Linked DNA regions of Ovis aries. The protein of the gene in region 1 interacts with the protein of each later gene in a pairwise test. Links are inferred from orthologs where the notes say so. Each region holds a gene or a part of one and is shown in the gene's direction. Other genes may lie near its edges.

What was found.
Region 2: the proteins of ALAS1 (region 1) and POLDIP2 interact in binary tests that used the Homo sapiens proteins (3 or more experiments, as listed by UniProt). The two-hybrid records come from large-scale screens. The link is inferred for Ovis aries from reciprocal best matches to the Homo sapiens genes ALAS1 and POLDIP2.
Region 3: the proteins of ALAS1 (region 1) and LONRF1 interact in binary tests that used the Homo sapiens proteins (3 or more experiments, as listed by UniProt). The two-hybrid records come from large-scale screens. The link is inferred for Ovis aries from reciprocal best matches to the Homo sapiens genes ALAS1 and LONRF1.
Region 4: the proteins of ALAS1 (region 1) and DUSP19 interact in a two-hybrid assay, tested with the Homo sapiens proteins (3 studies listed by BioGRID and IntAct). The two-hybrid records come from large-scale screens. The link is inferred for Ovis aries from reciprocal best matches to the Homo sapiens genes ALAS1 and DUSP19.
Region 5: the proteins of ALAS1 (region 1) and CDC73 interact in a two-hybrid assay, tested with the Homo sapiens proteins (3 studies listed by BioGRID and IntAct). The two-hybrid records come from large-scale screens. The link is inferred for Ovis aries from reciprocal best matches to the Homo sapiens genes ALAS1 and CDC73.
Region 6: the proteins of ALAS1 (region 1) and ZMAT1 interact in a two-hybrid assay, tested with the Homo sapiens proteins (2 studies listed by BioGRID). The two-hybrid records come from large-scale screens. The link is inferred for Ovis aries from reciprocal best matches to the Homo sapiens genes ALAS1 and ZMAT1.

What each region holds. Positions count from the first base shown.
Region 1 is NC_056072.1:48,760,344-48,762,598, reverse strand, and holds the end of ALAS1 (5-aminolevulinate synthase, non-specific, mitochondrial), read left to right. Parts: intron 1-138; coding exon 139-301; intron 302-1,445; coding exon 1,446-1,606; 3' UTR 1,607-1,755; downstream 1,756-2,255.
Region 2 is NC_056064.1:19,778,719-19,782,218, reverse strand, and holds part of POLDIP2 (polymerase delta-interacting protein 2), read left to right. Parts: intron 1-283; coding exon 284-380; intron 381-559; coding exon 560-635; intron 636-867; coding exon 868-975; intron 976-1,368; coding exon 1,369-1,505; intron 1,506-2,282; coding exon 2,283-2,309; intron 2,310-2,516; coding exon 2,517-2,642; intron 2,643-3,500. UniProt on the Homo sapiens protein: Involved in DNA damage tolerance by regulating translesion synthesis (TLS) of templates carrying DNA damage lesions such as 8oxoG and abasic sites.
Region 3 is NC_056079.1:23,431,124-23,434,623, forward strand, and holds part of LONRF1 (LON peptidase N-terminal domain and RING finger protein 1), read left to right. Parts: intron 1-955; coding exon 956-1,114; intron 1,115-1,227; coding exon 1,228-1,390; intron 1,391-3,500.
Region 4 is NC_056055.1:126,672,976-126,676,475, reverse strand, and holds part of DUSP19 (dual specificity protein phosphatase 19), read left to right. Parts: intron 1-2,930; coding exon 2,931-3,083; intron 3,084-3,500.
Region 5 is NC_056065.1:11,318,998-11,322,986, reverse strand, and holds the start of CDC73 (parafibromin), read left to right. Parts: upstream 1-1,189; 5' UTR 1,190-1,412; coding exon 1,413-1,543; intron 1,544-3,989.
Region 6 is NC_056080.1:133,489,718-133,492,101, reverse strand, and holds the end of ZMAT1 (zinc finger matrin-type protein 1), read left to right. Parts: coding exon 1-970; 3' UTR 971-1,884; downstream 1,885-2,384.

The sequences.
Region 1 (2,255 bases):
ACCCTTTAAACTGCAGGTGTCGGGGCAGCCTCTCTGCCAGGCTTGCATATGCAGGTCGAGCCCAAGCCACTTGGACACGCGTGTGACTAGTCTCTGCTGTCTGGTTCCAGCCTTATCTTCTGTTATTATCAATCTTAGGTGGCAGATGCTGCTAAAAACACGGAGGTCTGTGATGAACTAATGACTAGACATAATATCTATGTCCAAGCGATCAATTACCCCACAGTGCCCCGGGGCGAGGAGCTGCTGCGCATCGCCCCCACGCCGCACCACACACCGCAGATGATGAGCTACTTCGTGGGTGAGTAGCCAGGGAGCCGCCAGAGCCCCGCGGGAGAGTGGCGTGAAGCTGTCTGCAGCATTTATAATTCAAGCCATTCAGATTTGTCTCTTCTTTTTCCAAGTAATTAAGAATATTCTCAGGTGGTACAGAAGTGTGAAAGACAGTTAGTCGTTCGCTCCACTTCACGGGAAGCACCGAGGGAGCCTGCTGTCCGCTCACTGTTCCCATCCATGCCTCTGTCTGTGTGGCTCAGGGACCCCCAGTGGTGGCTGCTGCAGGAGAGATGCCTCTGACAGCCTAAGCCTGCCCGGGCCTCCAGAGCTCAGCTCTGCACTTCTCTCTTCTCTGAAAACCGACTACACACCTAACCCCTTCTGTTCAGCATTTCATATTCTCATAGTTCTGTATAACGCAGGCCTTTCCGCCTGCGTCCAGCTGAAGGCAGAGACTAAACTCATAGCTGCCTCTGCCTCGGAGGTGTGTTGCCCTCCTGAGCCTCCACCGCCACCCACGGTGGTTCCCTGCCTCCAGCCTTTCGGGCTCCCCTGCAAGGAATGATCCATTCCACACAGTGCAGCCATGTGGGAGCGACTTCTTCTCTGAAGGGTGTAAAGTAAAGCCAGACCTGGGTTTTCTCTACTTTTTAAGTAACAGCCTATTAAGATAGAATTCAGATAAAACAAATTCTAACCTTTCAAAACACATAATTCAGTGGCTTTGAAGTAATGTTGTGCAACCGTCAGCATTCTGATGCCAGAACGTTTTTATCACCTCAGAGAGAAACTTTACACCGCTTAGCAGCCACATCCCAGCCCTGATCCACTTTCTGTCCGTGGACTTGCCTGTACATAACATTTTATGGAAATGGAGTTGTACAGTATATGGCCCTTTGTGCCTGGCTTATTTCACAGCACAGTGTGTTCAAGGTTTCATCTACGTTGTAGCTTGAATCAGCACTTCGTTCCTACCAAATAATTCTCCTCAGTACAGATATACCATGTTTTGTTTATCCATCAATTGGTGGATGTTTGGATTGTTTCTACTTTCTGACTATTATGAAAAAAAAAAAGAATGCTGCTGTGAACACTTGTGTAAAAGTTATCATTGTCCATTTGTCCTGGGTATGTACTTCCTCTAATTTAAAAAAACTTGCTCCTCACAGATCATCTGCTGGCCACATGGAAGCGAGTTGGGCTGGAACTCAAGCCACATTCCTCAGCCGAGTGCAACTTCTGCAGGAGGCCACTGCATTTTGAAATGATGAGCGAAAGAGAGAAATCCTACTTCTCCGGTATGAGCAAGCTGGTATCTGCTCAGGCCTGAATGTGCTGTGCCCTAAGTTACTCCACCTACCCCAAGTCACACTGTATCCAGGTAGTCCCTCCACAGTTGTCTTTGTATGTGAATTAAATTATATTAATTTTAATCTATGGTAAACATGTAGTCCAGAAAATAAATTCTTGTCTAAATTAGGGTTCCTCTTTTTATTGGCTACTGAATCAAAAAGTCATTCATCCCTTTAAACTCGGTCTGCCTCCCGCTGCCCCGTCCCACCTCTCTAGGTCATCACAGAGCACGGAGCTGAGCTCCCTGCGTTATCCCACAGCTTCCCACTTGCCATCTGTTCTACACATGGTAGTAATATGTCAAGCCCAATCTCCCAATTCGTCCTACCCTCCACGGAGTTGGACATGACTGAAGCGACTCAGCAGCAGCAGCAGCCCCTCCCCAGTGGTGGCCACATGCCCGTTCTCCACGTCTGCATCTCTGCTCCTGCCCTGCAAATAGACTCACCTGTACCATTTTTCTAGATTCCACATACATGTGCTCATATACAATCTTTGTTTTTCTCTTTTTGAGTTACTTCACTCTGTATGACAGACTCTTAAGTCCATCCACATCACTACAAAAGACTCTGATTTGTTCCTTTTTCTGGCTGAGTAATATTCCATTGTATACATGCAATCTTTGA
Region 2 (3,500 bases), on another chromosome or scaffold:
GCTCTGGGCTCCAGGGACTGAAGCAGCAGTATGATTTTCTCAGCTTGGACCCTTTTTTAAAGAGGCATCCAGAAAGTAAGATAAACGATGACTCTTCACCACACTCTATTGCTTGCTCCTGACTGGGGAGCGTCGGGCCAGGGCATGCTGAACATCTGCCCAGCTGCTGCTAAGCCCCTTCAGTTCAGGCACTGGTCTGTTTGGTGAGGGGGTGGTAGGGAGCTGGGGCAGGCCCCGCTTCTGTTTCTCAGGTTGATCTTCGGCTTTTCCTCCTGCCTCATAGAGCAGAGAACCCTGCCGGCCATGGCTCGAAGGAGGTGAAAGGCAAAACTCACACTTACTACCAGGTGCTGATTGATGCCCGAGACTGTCCACATATAGTAAGTAAGCAAGGTGGCTGTGCCTGGGGTTCTTTTCCATAGGGAAGGCCTGATGGGACTAAGATCCTGATGGGGACTAAGAGAAGGAGAGGGATCCAACAGTTCCATACTGCACTGGGCCCCAAGTCCTCAGGACTGGATAGTGACCGAGCAAACCTATGACTTGCTTCTTGCCTTAGTCTCAGAGATCTCAGACAGAAGCTGTGACTTTCTTGGCTAATCACGACGACAGCCGGGCCCTCTATGCCATCCCAGGTGAGTTATGACCGTCTGAGTGGTGCCCATCGGTGAGGGGTCTGGTGTGTCTCAGGAAGAGAATTCCAGTGCCTTTCTGCTGTCCTTGAATCTGCTTTGGAGGGTGTGTAGATGCTGAGAGCCTTGGTGCGAGGGTTGTCCCACCCTGGGACAAGGCCCAGAAATTGAGTTTCTTTTCAGCCCCACTCTTCCCCATTCCTCCATGAGTTTTCTGTCTCTCTCTCTCTGCCAGGCCTGGATTATGTCAGCCATGAAGACATCCTCCCCTACACCTCCACTGATCAGGTTCCTATCCAGCATGAGCTCTTTGAAAGATTTCTTCTGTATGACCAGACAAAAGGTACCCTCTGTCATAAAGGGAAGCTGGAATGGGAGGGCCCTTTCTTCAAAGACAGTGTCACAGAAGCAGTTTCAGAGCTGTTTCTACAACTTGATTTAACCTCCCTTTAGACCTGTCAGGTAGATGGCTCAGGGATGATGAGAGCAACTCAAGGTTGCTAGGTAGTGGCAGAGTGAGATCTGAGAGCCAGGGCTCCTAACTCCCAGGCCACTTCTCTTCCCCTGACGTCATATTCCTCCTTGGGGCTTATTCTTGGTAGGCAGCCCTGTGCCTTCTTCCAGCCTGTGCTGCTTTTGCTCACGTGTCTTATATACCTTGACCATCACTGGGAAGGATTTTATAAGAGGAACAGTTGGCCGCTGGCCTGGTCTAACCAGTCATTTCTTGCCCCAGCACCCCCTTTTGTGGCTCGGGAGACACTACGGGCCTGGCAGGAGAAGAATCACCCCTGGCTGGAGCTCTCTGATGTCCACCGGGAAACAACGGAGAATATCCGTGTCACTGTTATCCCCTTCTACATGGGCATGAGGGTAGGTGCCGAGCCTTGATACCTTCCCTCAGGGCCGGGCCCCCAGGTTCTGTGTGGTGTCCCCACGTTTAAACCATGTGCCTGAGGTTCTGGTTTCCAGTGCTGCATGTATTGGTTGGGGTCGAGCACCCTCTTGGCAAGAGCTGACACCAAGACCTAGAGCAAAGAAACTCTCAGATCCCAGGAAGGAGGCCTCCAGGTTGACTCTCTCCTCTTCTGGCTCAAAGGGAGCCATGATTATGAAGAACATACACATACTTATTTAAATCACCATAGGTTCCTCTTCCCACATTTTATAAATTTATTGAGCTCTTTCTTGCTTGGCTGTAACCTGGGTCTTAGGGAGACAAAACTGAAAGACTGTACCTGCCTTTCAGGAGCTCACGATAGTGGGGGAGGCCAGCCTACAGCTTTCCAAGTGTTGTTATCTTGCTGGGATGTGGGAAGGCAGAGGAGAAGACAGCAGCCTGGGCAGCAGTGGTGGGTGAAGGGGCAGCGTCTGATGGGGAGAGTGGTGAGAGGGAAGGGCCCTCTCCTCTGTTTTCTGTTCTCATCCAGCTCTGTGATCTTGATAGGATGAGGAGGAAGGAGGCCAGAGAAGGGCCCAGGGAGCCTGCCTCCCTCTGGGCATGTTGGCCATAGTTAGCACGTCATCAAGATACTTGTGGTTTTGTTCTGTCTTTGCATCCGTCCTGGAATACATCTGCTCCACTGGAGAGATGTTGATTGGAATTTCTACCCTTGGGGACTGAAATTCTTTGTGTTTGTTTTTCCCTAGGAAGCCCAGAATTCCCACGTCTACTGGGTGAGTGTCTAATCTCGGGCGGAGGGGAGCTCAGGAGGCGTGCCTGTGGGGGCAGGTTGGGAGGTGGGGGCTTTACCTCTGGGGTGGGAGATGAGACCCGTGCAGTGCAGGTACTGGCCTTTGTTGCCCTTTGCTCTCAGAATCCCCGGGGGGCGAGCCCAGGCTCTGTTCCTTCTCAGACATGAAGTCTCTCCCCTGCTCCCACAGTGGCGCTATTGCATCCGCTTGGAGAACCTCGACAGTGACGTGGTTCAGCTCCGGGAGCGACACTGGAGGATATTCAGTCTGTCCGGCACCTTGGAGACAGTGCGAGGCCGAGGGGTTGTGGGCAGGGTGAGCATCTTTGGGCTGATGATCTTGGTTTCTGGTCTCACCCAGCAGGCCTGGGAGCTTAAGGCATGGTCGCCTCCTCTGTGGTTAGGGACGGGCTCAGTGTATGAAAGCACAGGACTGTTGAGAGTGAGAAAGCTCACTGTGAGGGAGGCGTCTTATAACCCATTTCACAGATGGTGACACTGAGACTGTTATGTAACTAGCCCATGGTTCTTATAACTCATAGCAGCAGGTCCTGGATTTGGAGCCAAGTAAGTGACATTGGTGGCCACCCTGTTTAAAAATCTGAATTGGGAAGCCTTTGGGTGTGGCACACAGCCCCCACCACTCCCAGTTGCCCTTCCTCTGCCTCTTCACACACGTACATCCTCTGGTGGCCCTTGAAGAGATCTGATTTTGCAATTCCTGCACTACCCCACCCACTCTCCTGAGAAATAAAGGCAAGAGAAGGCCACATTCAGTAAGCAGTTATACACGTTAGCAGGGACTTGGGGAGGCAGCGTGGGATAGAAAGAACAGGGCTTTGGAGCTCATCTCTTTTCAGATGCCCACTGTGTTGTTTACTTGCTGCATAACTTTGGCCAGGTTATTTAACCAGAATCTCAGTTTTTTAGGATAACATCTATTACCTTATGATTACCAGGACTTAAGTTAGCAGGTGTTTGCTGATCATAAGGCACTTAGTGAATGGACTCTGAAAGGGATATTTGCAGAGATCTTGGCATCTTTGTCTGGAAACCTCAGATGTTTAGTCTGAGATTATCTTCCCCAGGGCCAGAGTAAAAGGCCCAGGTTAATGGTGGTGCTGTGAGAGGAGGTGCTGGCTGGCCGTTACGGTGGGAGGCATGAGAGGGCATC
Region 3 (3,500 bases), on another chromosome or scaffold:
TTACAGTCATAATTTGTAACTCAAAGGTAATCACCACTGGCATTTTGGCATATGTCCTTCCTAATTTTAATATAAATACATTATAAACAAATATGGGATTATTTTACTATTATTTAATACCTTTTCTCATTAATCTAAAGTCTAAATATAGTATCTCATTTTATGGTTACATCATAATTTATTTTACTGGTTGGCTCTTTTTGCTTCTAAGTTTTGGCTACTATACACATTGAACATTTTTACAATACTTGTAGAAAAAAGCACACCTGTTGATTCAAAGGATATGAATATTAAAAACATTTTTTTGATGTATGTAGCCAAATTCTTCTTCAGTATGGTTGTACTATTTCAAACTGCCCCCGTCAACTGCCAGTTTTCCCCCATACCCTTGCCAAAGGGTTTCTTTAGATTAATGAGAAACTGAGCACTGCCTTTATCCTTCATATTTCCTGCCAATCTGGGAATGAAACTGTTTCACTTTAATTATCTGGAAAAAATTGTATGCCATTGAATTACCTGCTTTTGTTAGTAAGGAAATATTTTAGTGACTACAAAGTTTTTAAAATGTTTTTTGTCCTTTGCAGGAGCTCACTTATTGTTGTCTAAGAGTAAGAGTGTTTTATGGATAGAAGATAATAACTGTCATGTTACAAATATTTTAAACATTTTTAATATAAAATAGTTACAATCAATTGCTTTTTTATTCATAAAAGTACATAGCTCTATATGACAACTTTATAAATTTGAATTTACTTGTAAGAGGATTGCAGACAGTTTTAGGATTAATATTGTATCAACATGAGCTTAAATGAAGGGGATGTTGATTCTTATTCCTGCCAAGAATGAAAATTACCTGATTTTAGAGTACATTTTTGTTTTCTACTATTTATTGAAAGTTTCACTCATTTTTGTTGTATCTTCTGATATATAATAATGCAATTTTTTTCTTCTTCAGCTTGACCAAGAATGTTCCAATATTTGTTTGCACTATGGCCTATCCCACTGTGCCTTGCCCTCTTCATGTATTTGAGCCAAGATACAGATTGATGATTCGAAGAAGTATACAGACTGGAACTAAACAGTTTGGGATGTGCGTCAGTGATGCACAGAATAGGTATGCTTTTTGTCTAAATGTTTTTATTGATTCTTGAGTTTTCTGTGAATATTGCTGAGAACGTGCATGTCTGTGGCTTGAACTTTTGGTACTAACTGGAGTTTTTCTTCTAGTTTTGCAGATTATGGTTGTATGTTACAAATTAGAAATGTACATTTCTTGCCTGATGGACGGTCTGTGGTTGATACCGTTGGAGGAAAGCGGTTTAGGGTTTTAAAAAGAGGAATGAAAGATGGATATTGCACTGCAGACATTGAATACCTGGAAGATATTAAGGTATTAAAACCTACCCTTTTCAGTACTGGTATACTCTGTCCTAGGCATTGTACAGGCGTGAAAGCTGCAGTTTTCTAGGCACATTAACCAGTTCTTCCTGTCAGAGACCCTCATTAATACTTAAGCAAATTAGCTCCATTACCTTCTTCTCATTTTGTTTTTTGAAATTTTTATTTTATAATGGAGGAGAGCTGATGAACAATGTTGTGACAGTTTCAGGTGGACCTTAATATCATCTTGCTCTTAATTACTGTGAGTTCCAAGAGACCTTGGGAGACCACAGCCTAGACTTTGTTCATTTCTACTTCCTTGACAACCACCACCGTGCCTAGAATGTAGTCACATGTGTAGCTGCACGGCAGTTACTTAACAAAAGCAGGGTGTTGAACTTCCAGCCTAAGTTATGAAACCTGCTAAGTCCTGCCCTTTTAAATTAATTAGTAGTCAAAGCTGATACAGTCAGCAGTAGATTGAACTTCGGTGTAAAAGTAAACATGAAATCCTTGAATGGTTCTCTATATTAAGATATGCTTAAGATAACCTCAGTGATAACATAGACACAAACTCTAGAGCATCACAGATACAGCACTGTCAGTATAATTATAGGTGATATCTTACCTGGGGAGGGTTAGTGTGATAATTTTCTTGAATAGGGTTGATGCTACCCTTTTAACATTTCTAGTACCTGCTTTAGCATCTGCAGTTAGTTTAGGTACCAGAAAAATGATTTGAGATACTATAAATATCAAATTAAAGGCAGTTTTCTTTGGAAGGGCATTAGAAAATGAGAAAATCTTGTATTATCACTTGTTCATTGATCTGCTTGATCATCCCAAGCAGCATTTACTGAGTGTTAGCATTGGGCATTTCTGCAAACAGTGGCTCACTGAATTTTCAAAAGTCAGATAGCAGGTAAGGAAAGTAGGATTCAGGAGTTTTAATTAGTAATAATTTGCTAAGACGATAATAATTTAAAGCCAGCTCTCTGGCTTCACGTGCTGTGTTTTATCATTGCAGTCTTGATAAGCTTCTCTGCTGATAAACTTCATTAAATCTGCTACTGCCTATCCTATTTCATTATAAAGATGCTATGGGAAAACTTTGTGCAGTGAGCTAGAAGTATTGAGTTGGAATTTTGAGTTGATTGATATAGTCTGTGTCTTAGCATATTTGATTAATGGACTCATTTCCTAAAGGTGATATTTTTTGTAAAACTAATAAACTTAGTTTTGTGTAAATTTATATCTGCATATATTGGATTTGCTGACAAAATTCCTTGACTATATATGTATATGACATATAAATATGACAGTATGATAGAATATTGAAAGTATTAGGGATTTGATGTTTAGAATTGAATTCTCTATGTTGTAGTTATAGGAATGTCTAAATTTTTCTTCATCTTAGTGCCTCATCTGTGTAATGATTTCTTTTTCATTCTGGGAAATCGTCTCAAATTTGTTTTTTATATCAAGGCTATTTTTTCCCTTGGTGTTGTAATTCTGTTTTCTGTCTTTCAATAACATTTTAGATTCTGTTATTGCAAGGAAATTCCATAACTTTAAAACTTCTGCCAGCTTTTTAGCTCCTTTTTCTAACCAAGACTTATGATTTTTATCATTCCTTGTTTACCAAAGTTCATGGTTTGGTCCCTTGAATTTTATAAGGCTGGAAACTAGATACTTTTTTCTTTTGTAATAGTTTTAACAAGTAACATGTTTATTTTTTTAATCAAGATTTTAAAAATGGAAGTATAGTAGATTTGCAGTGTTGTGTTAATTTCTGCTGAATAGTGAAGTGATTCATTTATACATAAAATATTAAAAAATGTAAATATTTTCCATTTTCATTTATTATAGAATACTGAGCATAGTTCTCTGTGCTATATAATAGGACCTTGTTCATCCATTCTGTATATAAAAGCTTACATCTGCTAACCCCTCCCTCATCCCTCCACCGGTCCCCTCTCCCTTGGCGACGACCAGTGTATCCTCTGTATCCATGGTTCTGTTCCACAGGTTCATTTGTGTCAAATTTTGAATTCCACATGTAAGTGATATCGCATGGTATTTGTCTTTCTCTTTCTGCCTTCACTTCACTGTAGTTGCAG
Region 4 (3,500 bases), on another chromosome or scaffold:
CATCATGGCAAATAGATGGGGGAACAGTGGAACAGTGTCAGACTTTATTTTTTTGGGCTCCAAAATCACTGCAGATGGTGATTGCAGCCATGAAATTAAAAGACCCTTACTCCTTGGAAGGAAAGTTATGACCAACCTAGATAGCATATTGAAAAGCAGAGACATTACTTTGCCAAAAAGGTCCGTCTAGTCAAGACTATGGTTTTTCCAGTGGTCATGCATGGATGTGAGAGTTGGACTGTGAAGAAAGCTGAGCACCAAAGAATTGATGCTTTTGAACTGTGGTGTTGGAGAAGACTCTTGAGAGTCCCTTGGACCGCAAGGAGATCCAACCAGTCCATTCTAAAGATCAGTTCTGGGGGTTCTTTGGAAGGACTGATGCTAAAGCTGAAACTCCAATACTTTGGACACCTCATGTGAAGAGTTGACTCATTGGAAAAGACTCTGATGCTGGGAGGGATTGGGGGCAGGAGGAGCAGGGGACGACAGAGGATGAGATGGCTGGATGGCATCACCAACTCGATAGACGTGAGTTTGAGTGAACTCCGGGAGTTGGTGATGAACAGGGAGGCCTGGTGTGCTGCAATTCATGGGGTTGCAAAGAGTCGGACACGACTGAGCAACTGAACTGAACTGAACTGAATTGAAATTACCTAGACATTGGATAGTTTAATAGCCCACGATATTTGTAAAGCACTTTTACCTTTCAGCAAGTTTCCTCAAGATTCTCATTTTGTGATCTTCATAATTCTGTGATAGATAGGAAAGCTGTATAGATACAGATATATTCTATAAGTGGTCAGACCTCATTTTTGGTCTTTGGGGGATGTAAAATATAGTTCTAAAGACAGGGCAAACACATCAGTATCATACGACATTGGAATATCTATTATGTAATTAAAGGCAGAGTCATACAGCCCTGGCCAGAGGTTCTCTTGGAGTGGGAGGGTAACTTGACACAGCCTGAGAGGCCATCACAAGGAAAGCAGAAGGACATTTCAGACAGTATCTGCTAAAAATGTTCTTCCCTTCTGTCTAGAATTCTCCCATCTCTCTTGAGCAGATTAGAGGGTTTTTTTCTGTTGTTTTCCTCCACAAGGCAGTTAGGTTTGTAAGCAGCTTATGGCCCTCTCTTCATGAGGTCTAGTTCCCTGAATATCTTAATCAATACTCCTTTGGCTGTGGACCACAGAAACCTGAGCAAGGAGAGAGAATGCATATGATGATCTCAGGGCGGGGAGATGAGGGCAGGGGGAGCTTGTTGGAAGCCGGGAGGAGAGTAGCTGTGCCAGAGAATAGAAGGCCATCCCCTGGCACACGGCCCCTCTCTGCACATCTGCTCTTCTCATTTGGAAGCAGGGATCTTTCACTTAATACAGAATGGCTGTCTTAAAGCTCCTGAGTTTGTGGATTATTCTAACTGTCTCGTACACCTCTTTCTAAATTTCTTAAATCAATCTAGCTTAAGTCAGGTGTCCACCGGAATCCAGTTAGCTGTGTTGGGGGAAGGAGCGAGGCACTGCCAGAGCCACACCTGTGAGGATAGTAGGGGCGGGAGAGGCAGAATCCGATCCATTTAGCCTTTGGATTCTCTTAACGAACTTCTCACATGGCTTCTTGCATTTGCTTGGTGGACTCCAGGAAAGGAGCTTGAATGCGTAGATGGAGGAGGAGGTTGCTCACATGTGCCATTTGAAAGCAAATCTTTCACGACCATCTCACCTTTCAACCAGACTAATTCATCAGAATTTCTGGGATTGAGACCCTGTGGCATTGGTGCTTTTTAAAACCTCACTGGGTGACCAGTCACCTTGAAACCAAACCCAGCGCCCTATGGTGTGACTTGCCGTCCAAGTTCAGAAGCAGCAGAGAATCCAAAATTCAGGGTGTACCTATTGAACTTTTAAAAAGCTCACTGGGTAGTTCTGGTGTGTAGCCACACTTGAGAACAACTGTACTTACAAAGAATACAAAAGGAAAGTAGGGAAATAATTATTGAAAGGGAAGTTATTGCTACTAATGCACGTCCCTTACTTTAATTTTTTTATGGACATTAATTGATTTATTCAATAGATATTTTAAGTACTTCTGTGTGAGGTTTCCTGCTCACTCACAATGCTTACTTATAAAAGTGAGTAGGCTAAATATGGTCCCTACCCTGGTGGAGTTTCCAGTACAATATGGGAGACGAACTCTAGGTGATAAGGGCTATTGTAAGGCACATAGAGGGTACTATAGGAGTATACAGGCTTCCCTGGAGGCTCAGTGTTAAAGAACCTGCCAAGCAGATGTGGGTTTGATCCCTGGGTTGGAAAGATTCCCTAGAGACGGAAATGGCAACCCACTCCAGTCTTCTTGTCTGGGACATCCCATGAACAGAGGAGCCTGGTGGGCTACCGTCCATAGGGGTCACAAAAGAGTCAGACATGGCATGGCGACTAAACAACAATAACAACAAATATGTGTGTAGAAATAGCACTTCTGGTAAGGGAGGAGGCCGGCAGAGAAGGCTCCCTGAAGGACGTGTTATTCAAGTGTGCGTGTGTTCAGTCGTGTCTGACTTTTGTGTGAGTCTTTGGACTGTTGCCCAGCAGACTCCTTTGTCCATGGAATTTTCCAGGCAGGAATATTGGAATGGGTTGCCATTTCCTCCTCGAGGGGATCTACCCGACCCAGGGATCGAACCTATGTCTCTGGCATTTCCTTCATTGCAGGCAGATTCTTTACCACTGAGCCACCTGGGAAGCCCAAGTGAGTGAGTCATGCTTAAATTATGTATTGTTACAGATCTCAACACCTCAATTTAATTAACCTAATTAATTAACCTAAGTAACCTAATTAGGTTTAATTTTATTTAAACATAATTTTTTAGGTTTAATTAACCTAATTCATGTGAATTTTTAAAAATTTATCTTTTTTTTGTCTTTAAGGTGACTCATATTCTCAATGTTGCATATGGAGTTGAAAACGCTTTCCTCAATGACTTTATATATAAGAATATTTCTATATTGGATCTGCCTGAGACCAATATCCTGTCTTATTTTCCAGAATGTTTTGGATTTATTGAACAAGCAAAAATGAAGGTAAGTTTGGTACCGATTCACAGTTCCTCAAGAACAGAAATTTTAAAATACTGGTCCATTCTCCACTTCTCTCTGTAATGAATATGTAAGAACTATTATTAAGTTTCCCTTTCAACAATATTTCATTAATTCCTATAATTATTTAGTCCTCCAGTTGCTCTTCTTCCAGTGAGGTACTTACTTTTAACTTTATTTTCTTGCATTTATTTACTACTACTGTTTTGACTGTGTTGGTCGTGACTGTGCCATTGGGCTCTCTCTTGCAGCCTGTGCGCTTCCCTCTAGCTGTGGCACTTGGGCCCCAAAGTGCGTGGGCTCTGCAGTTGTGTGCAGGCTCCAGAGCGCATACGCTCTGTGGCTTGTGGCACTCAGACTCTCTAGTTGAGGAACACGGGCTCACTAGTTGGGGCACCTGGG
Region 5 (3,989 bases), on another chromosome or scaffold:
GTACTGGGGATAAATAAAAAGGTTATTTTTAACATGTTTGGGGTGAAGTTTAGGAAAATTTACAGAATAGTCAAAATTTCTCAAATTCAGCTGCAAAATGGCTGAAGAGTGAATACAGAAAAGTGAACCACATTCTACAGATCTCTCTGCAGTGCACATAACGAAAATTGCTTTCTTTCAAATCGGGTAAAAGAATTTGGTTATGTCAATCACAAAGTCGACTTTTTTCCTTTTCTGCTATAGTAAGACATTTTTAAAAAATGGCCCATGGGATATGTTTAAGGTAGACATGCCACAGTAAACTGAATTTATATCAATAAACTGAGCTTGTGTTCTCTAACTCTCCTATTAGCATCTCGGAAGACAGCTATTAAACTGTAGCCCCTTGAGGCTGGCCAGGAGAAGGGGACAAGAAGGAAAAAGCCACCATCTAAGGAACTGAGAAGGGGAAGATCCAATATTTATGATTTTTTGATTTGCCTGATGCTTTTAGCTTCCATGTTCTCCATTAACCAATTGATTCTGTGAGAAGGTGTGTAACTTGACTGAGGTCAAAAGGCAGCTAACAAACACCAGTGCCCCGGCATTGATCTTTGGCCTAGGCGAGCCCACTAAAAACACAAAATAAAAAATAACCCCCAAAGCAACATCTTTCCCCAAACACCTTTCCCTTCTACAGGGGTTTATCAAGAGGCCATTTGTTAGGTGGGTCCAACCTCGTCGGGACGGCAACCTTGGCTCTGCAAACCTCTCACCAGGCTGCAGCCTGGTTAAAGGAGAGACCACACTGCACTGGCCAGCGGCCAACACTGCGGGCCCGTCGAGGAGCACCCATTGCGCGCTCTGGGAACTGACGTCCCAGATTCCCCGCGCAGGTGCGCGCGCACCTGTCGCCTGCCGCGTGCGCGCTGCGCGTGGTGGGGCGAGTCGGGGGCGGGGGAAAGGAGGATGAGGTCCGTGCTCCCGCGCGTGCGCCGGGCAAGGCTCCCCCGTACGTGCGCCGTACGTGGGCGCTGCGTCCCCGCGCCCTATGAGTTGCGGGCCGGGAGTCGGCCCCGCGCGCCAAGTGGGAGTCTGGGAGGGGCGTTTCCCGGGCGGGCGCGGCGCCCCCTGGCGGCGGGCGGCGGCGGCGGCGGCGCGCGCGGTCAGGCGTTCTCCGCGGGCAGCCCGCGGCGGGGCCTTGCCTCCTAGCGCGGGGTCCTCGGCGGCCTGGGTGGCTCCTTCCCCCGCTGCTGTCGTAGGCGCGGACGGCTGCCAGTGCGACTGCAGTTGGCTCGCGGCGGCGGCGGCGGCGGCGGCGGCGGCCGAGGCAGAGGGGCGGGGGGTGGGGGGGCTGAGGCGACAGGCGAAAGGGGCGGCGGGCGCGGCGGCGGCGGCGGGGCCCGGGGCCGGCGGCGGCGAGGGGGGCGAAGATGGCGGACGTGCTCAGCGTCCTGCGACAGTACAACATCCAGAAGAAGGAGATTGTGGTGAAAGGGGACGAAGTGATCTTCGGCGAGTTCTCCTGGCCCAAGAACGTGAAGACCAACTATGTGGTTTGGGGGTGAGTCTGTTGCGGCGGGGGGCAGGGCTGGGCGCCCCGGGGTCCCCCTCTCTCTCTCCCCGAACCCCTCCCCCCCGCTCCCCTTGCGGGTTGAGGAAAACGGGTGCTCCGGGGAAAAGTTTTCCCGGGAGCAGAAGTTGCAGCTCGTCTGTGAGGAGGGCGCGGGAGGAGCGGCGTTCGGAGGGGTCCCTCCTCCGCGGCTCCGTGTGGAGGTCTCTGCCCCTGTGTGTGGAGAGCCGGCCGGGTGCATAGGTGCATATAAAGGAGCGCCCCGCCGGGTCCTCGGGCGGCTCTTTTTGTCCTTTAGTTGTTGTTTTTTAAAATCTCTCTCGGAGGCTCTTCTGCGATGGTCTCTGCTGGCCCTTTGCAGCTCCTGGTCGGTTCCGTCTCCTTTCGCGATTCCCTCAAGCAGAGAGAGAAGGGAACCCACTCCGTCAGGTTAGGACGGGTAAGATTTCGGCGACCTGGGACAAGTCGTCGGAATCTGTTGGAGGTGAAGGCAGGGGTCTCCCTCAGGGAGAAAGTTCCTGCTGAAATGAAGTCAACTTTGCCATTCTAAGTGGGGAACGAATAGAGTGTGCGATTGTGTGGGAAATGTGTGTGAAGAGTGTGTGTCTGGGAATGTTGATCCCAGTGAGGGTTGCCCGAGTGTAAGTCCTTAAGGAAGACACCCGAAGGGAGATCTGAAACCTACACGGGAAAAGTATCTGAAAAAGAATAGATATATGCATATGTATTTCAAAAGAAAAATAGGTCTGATCATCATGAGGGGCTTTTTGAGTGAACCCTTCCTCTCTCAGTGGCGTTTCATTTGGATAGCTAGAGCCCTAGACGAAAACTTTCATACTTATTTTGCTTGATTGAATGGGAGCAGTGGGCTTTAGGAAGAGTTGATGAAAAGCTAGGGGAAGTTTAGTTCCTTGGGTTTTATTTATTTAATTTTTTTGGCATCTTGGGCTGCTTATGGTTTAATTAGCTTTGTGCAGATGGGTAAAATCATTCTGAGTTTTCTGGTTTTTTTTTTTTTTTTTCCTTTCAAAAGGAACTTGCACAGGCAGATTTACATTTTAAAAACAAATTAACAGCTTATGTGATGAAAAGTCTATTTGATTTGGGGAGTAACAAGCTGGAAGAGGTTAGGAGTCCTCTGCCCCACACATTGTGTAGGAGCTCAGCGCTGATTGGATTTTTAACTGATTGGTTTTTCTTTAAAAAATGGTTGAGTATTCACAGTGTAAGGCTGTTCAGTCCCAGAACTGGAAAATATTTTGAAAACCTAGGTCGGTGCCTCAAAGGAGGTTATCTCAATCAGAGTGGAAGAGATGACACATAACTTGATAAGAATCGAATTCCAGTTCCTAAAGAGAGCAATCACTTCTAACTTGGAAAGTTTTCATAGAAGTGTGTTTGGCCTATGGACATGCTAGGTTTTTCTTGAATAAATGAATGAACAAATGTTAAGGAGTGGATAGGAATTCTGAGGGCGAAGTAGTGGGCTAGGTCTTTCCAGCTGAGGGAATGGCATGCTTAAAGACCTGAGAGCTGGAAAGGAAATGTTTTGATAGCTGAGTGAAGCCAGTAGTAAGAAAAGAGTGCTTACAACAGTAGATTTCAAACTTTTGCAGCAGTGAATCACACCAGTACATGTATTTTGATTGAGTGTTATTCTCTGTGTTTAGGGAAATGCACACATATGCATGACATTAATATTTACCCTTACTGAATGCAGTGCATCCTGTTGTTTTTTTTTTTAATATATCACGATATCACGAAGAGATACAGCTTGTTACTCATGTATTATCTACTTCATAATACAGTGATTGATAAGTGATATGTGGTTTGAAGTATATTGATTTAGGGAAAAAGTGGAAATACAGCCTAGAAAAATAATTGGGACTGATTATATTGGGCCATATTCAGATGAATTTAAACAATACGTTGATATTTCTAGATGGGGAGAATGTAATAGGACAGTGGGATTGGACACTAACATTTGTTGAGCAAGTAGTAGTATGTATTTGCATGAAAGGGCTTGCACTCCTGGATGACTGTTTTATCACAGGTAGAATTAGTTTTGGTTTTACATCACTAGTTTAATTTGAGAGAAGTCATAAGAATCATATCTCTGAAGTTAATTGTAGTGTTAAAGAATGTTGGTAAGGGTGTTTTCTCAGCAGAATCTTACTTAGAAGACATGATAAGTTTCTTGTAAGTTTAGCCTAAGTGACTAGTATGCTTCTTTTAATCAGTTTGTTTCTCTTATGGATCCTTCCTAACTGATTAGGTTTCTCTATTAACAAAGCCCAGAAGCTAATTTGGACCAAATTCTAAGAAGTCTGTAGTAATAAAGTTTGAATAGTACTTTCCTTACCTCTTGCTTTTTGTCATTGTTTGCATTTGTGTGCCCAAATGACATTTTCACTTATTAGATTTCATGCTCTTAAGA
Region 6 (2,384 bases), on another chromosome or scaffold:
CAGAGGACTAGATCCAAAGACTTGTTTCAGAAAGGAAAGAGAGAGCTCTGTGGAAACCCATGGGTACAGAGAAATTTATTCTGGACCCAGACCAAGAATGTGTGAACGAAGATATTCATTTGAGACTTCTCAGACCTACCAACGACCATACACTATTTCACCAGTGGAAAGCCAAGTATATCACTGGTTACCAGCTCCTTCGAAGAGGACATATAACTCTTTCCAAGATGAACTTGAGGATTATATCAAAGTGCAGAAAGCCAGAGGACTAGAGCCAAAGACTTCTTTCAGAAAGATAAGTGATAGCTCTGTAGAAACCCATAAGCACAGAGAAATGGTTGATTCCAGACCCAGACCTAGAATGTTTGAGCAAAAACTCCCATTTGAGACTTTCCATTTCCAGGCTTACCCAGGATCATATAGTATTTCACAGGCAGAAGAAAACCAGTTACCTCATCCTTTACCAACTCATGACAGCAAACAGAGATTAGACTCTGTGACCTACTGTCAACCCACCAGAGACTGTTTCCCAGAAAAACCAGTACCCCTGAGCCTTAGTCAGCAGGATAATAACTCTGGCACATACAGTGTAGAATCTGAAGTTTATAAGCACCTCTCCTCAGAAAACGATACCAGTGAGCATCAAGTAGGTCATAAGCGGAAACATCAGAAGAAAAGAAGGCACATGGAGAAAGGTGAAGAAAGGCCAGAGAAGGAGCAGTCCAAGCATAAAAGAAAAAAGAGTTATGCGGATACAGACCTAGACAAGCACAAGGGCACTGGGGAAAGGAAAAGAGATGGAGATAAATTCAGAGTCAGTTCAGGAAGGCTTAAGCATCGAAAAAAGAAAAAAAGCCGTGGTGTACCCTCTGAGAAGGAAGAACGTAAGCACAAGAAAGAGAAAAAAAAATCTGTTGAAGAAAAGACGGAAGAGGAAATGCTTTGGGATGAGTCTATTCTTGGATTTTAAACTTTTAGCCTTGTTTACCCCAAGAGAAATAGAATGGGGGAATTTAGACAAAGACAGAAACATCCAATGAAGAAAAAGAGAGGTGAGTACAGTCAGTGTCAGTTCAAGAAAGCTTAGTTTTTTGTGTGTAAAAATTGAAATTGACTTGAAAGAAGAGACAAACAAGCCTAAACCTCACCTCTGAGAGAGAAGAACAAAAGAACACAGTCAGAACATAAGAGAAAAGGAAGCCAGTTAAAAGATAAACATGTCAGTGCTTTAGGACGAGTCTTCTCCTGGATTTTGAACTTTTCAGTTGTGTTCTTTAAGGTTGAATTGATGAAATAAGTTGAAGAGTTTGGTTTCATGAAATTCATGTTATTTGAATTTCCCTAAGTGAACAGTTACTTTAACCGTTAACAAAAGCCAAGTGAAGTAAGAGTATTCAATATGCCTTTTCCTCAAGTTATTTTTCCTCATTTCTTAACATGAAAGAAAAATTACATATTTCCTGCGTATAAAGTAATTTATCTTGATGAGACTATCTCTGCTCCTGATCATCCAGTTGCTCTGATAGTGAATTATTTACCTATGGGAGAAAATTAATTTTAAATGAGAAAATCAGCAGGCATCAGAATCCATCCTCTGTTTGGGTTGTGTTAGTGTTGGTGGTATTTTTAATTGCTATTATGTTTATGTTTCTTGGTTTTCTCCAAGGAAAATACGTGAAGCAATTTAGATTGATTTTTTGTTCATTTGTTAAATATAATTTGCAGTGTATTTTTGTATTTTCTAGTTCTGAAAGTGGGAAATGAAACAGTCTATAATAAATGTAGATGATATATAGTTTTAAAGAGTTCTCTCAAGAAGTACTGATAAAAAATCAGTCTATATTCTGTAAATGTTTATATTATATTAAAGTGTTTTAATTTCTATATATTGTTTTTTGTAAATAATTATTTCCAACCTGAATATTATTTTATTTTGGGAGTGAGAGGGGAAATAAACAATTTTCACCTCTGAGGAGATCACACTGTAAAGTTTTTTGTTTTGTTTTCCTTTCCAGTAAGGAAATATTTATTTATTTATTCATTTTTCTTAACACCAAAAACATTTTGTATTGGGGTATAGCCGATTAACAATGGTTGTGATAGTTTCAGGTGAACAGTGAAGGGACTCAGCTGTACATATTCATGTATCCATTCTCCCCCAAACCACCTTCCCATCCAGGCTGGCACATAACATTGAGCAGAATTCTATGTGCTATACAATAGGTTTTTGTTGCTTATCCATTTAAAATATAGCAGTGTGTACATGGCCTTTCAAAATTCTTTAACTATCCCTTCCCCCTGGCAACCATGAGTTCCTTTTCTAAGTCTGTGAGTCTCTTCCTGTTGCATAAGTAAGTTCATTTGTATCATTTCTTTTTAGATTC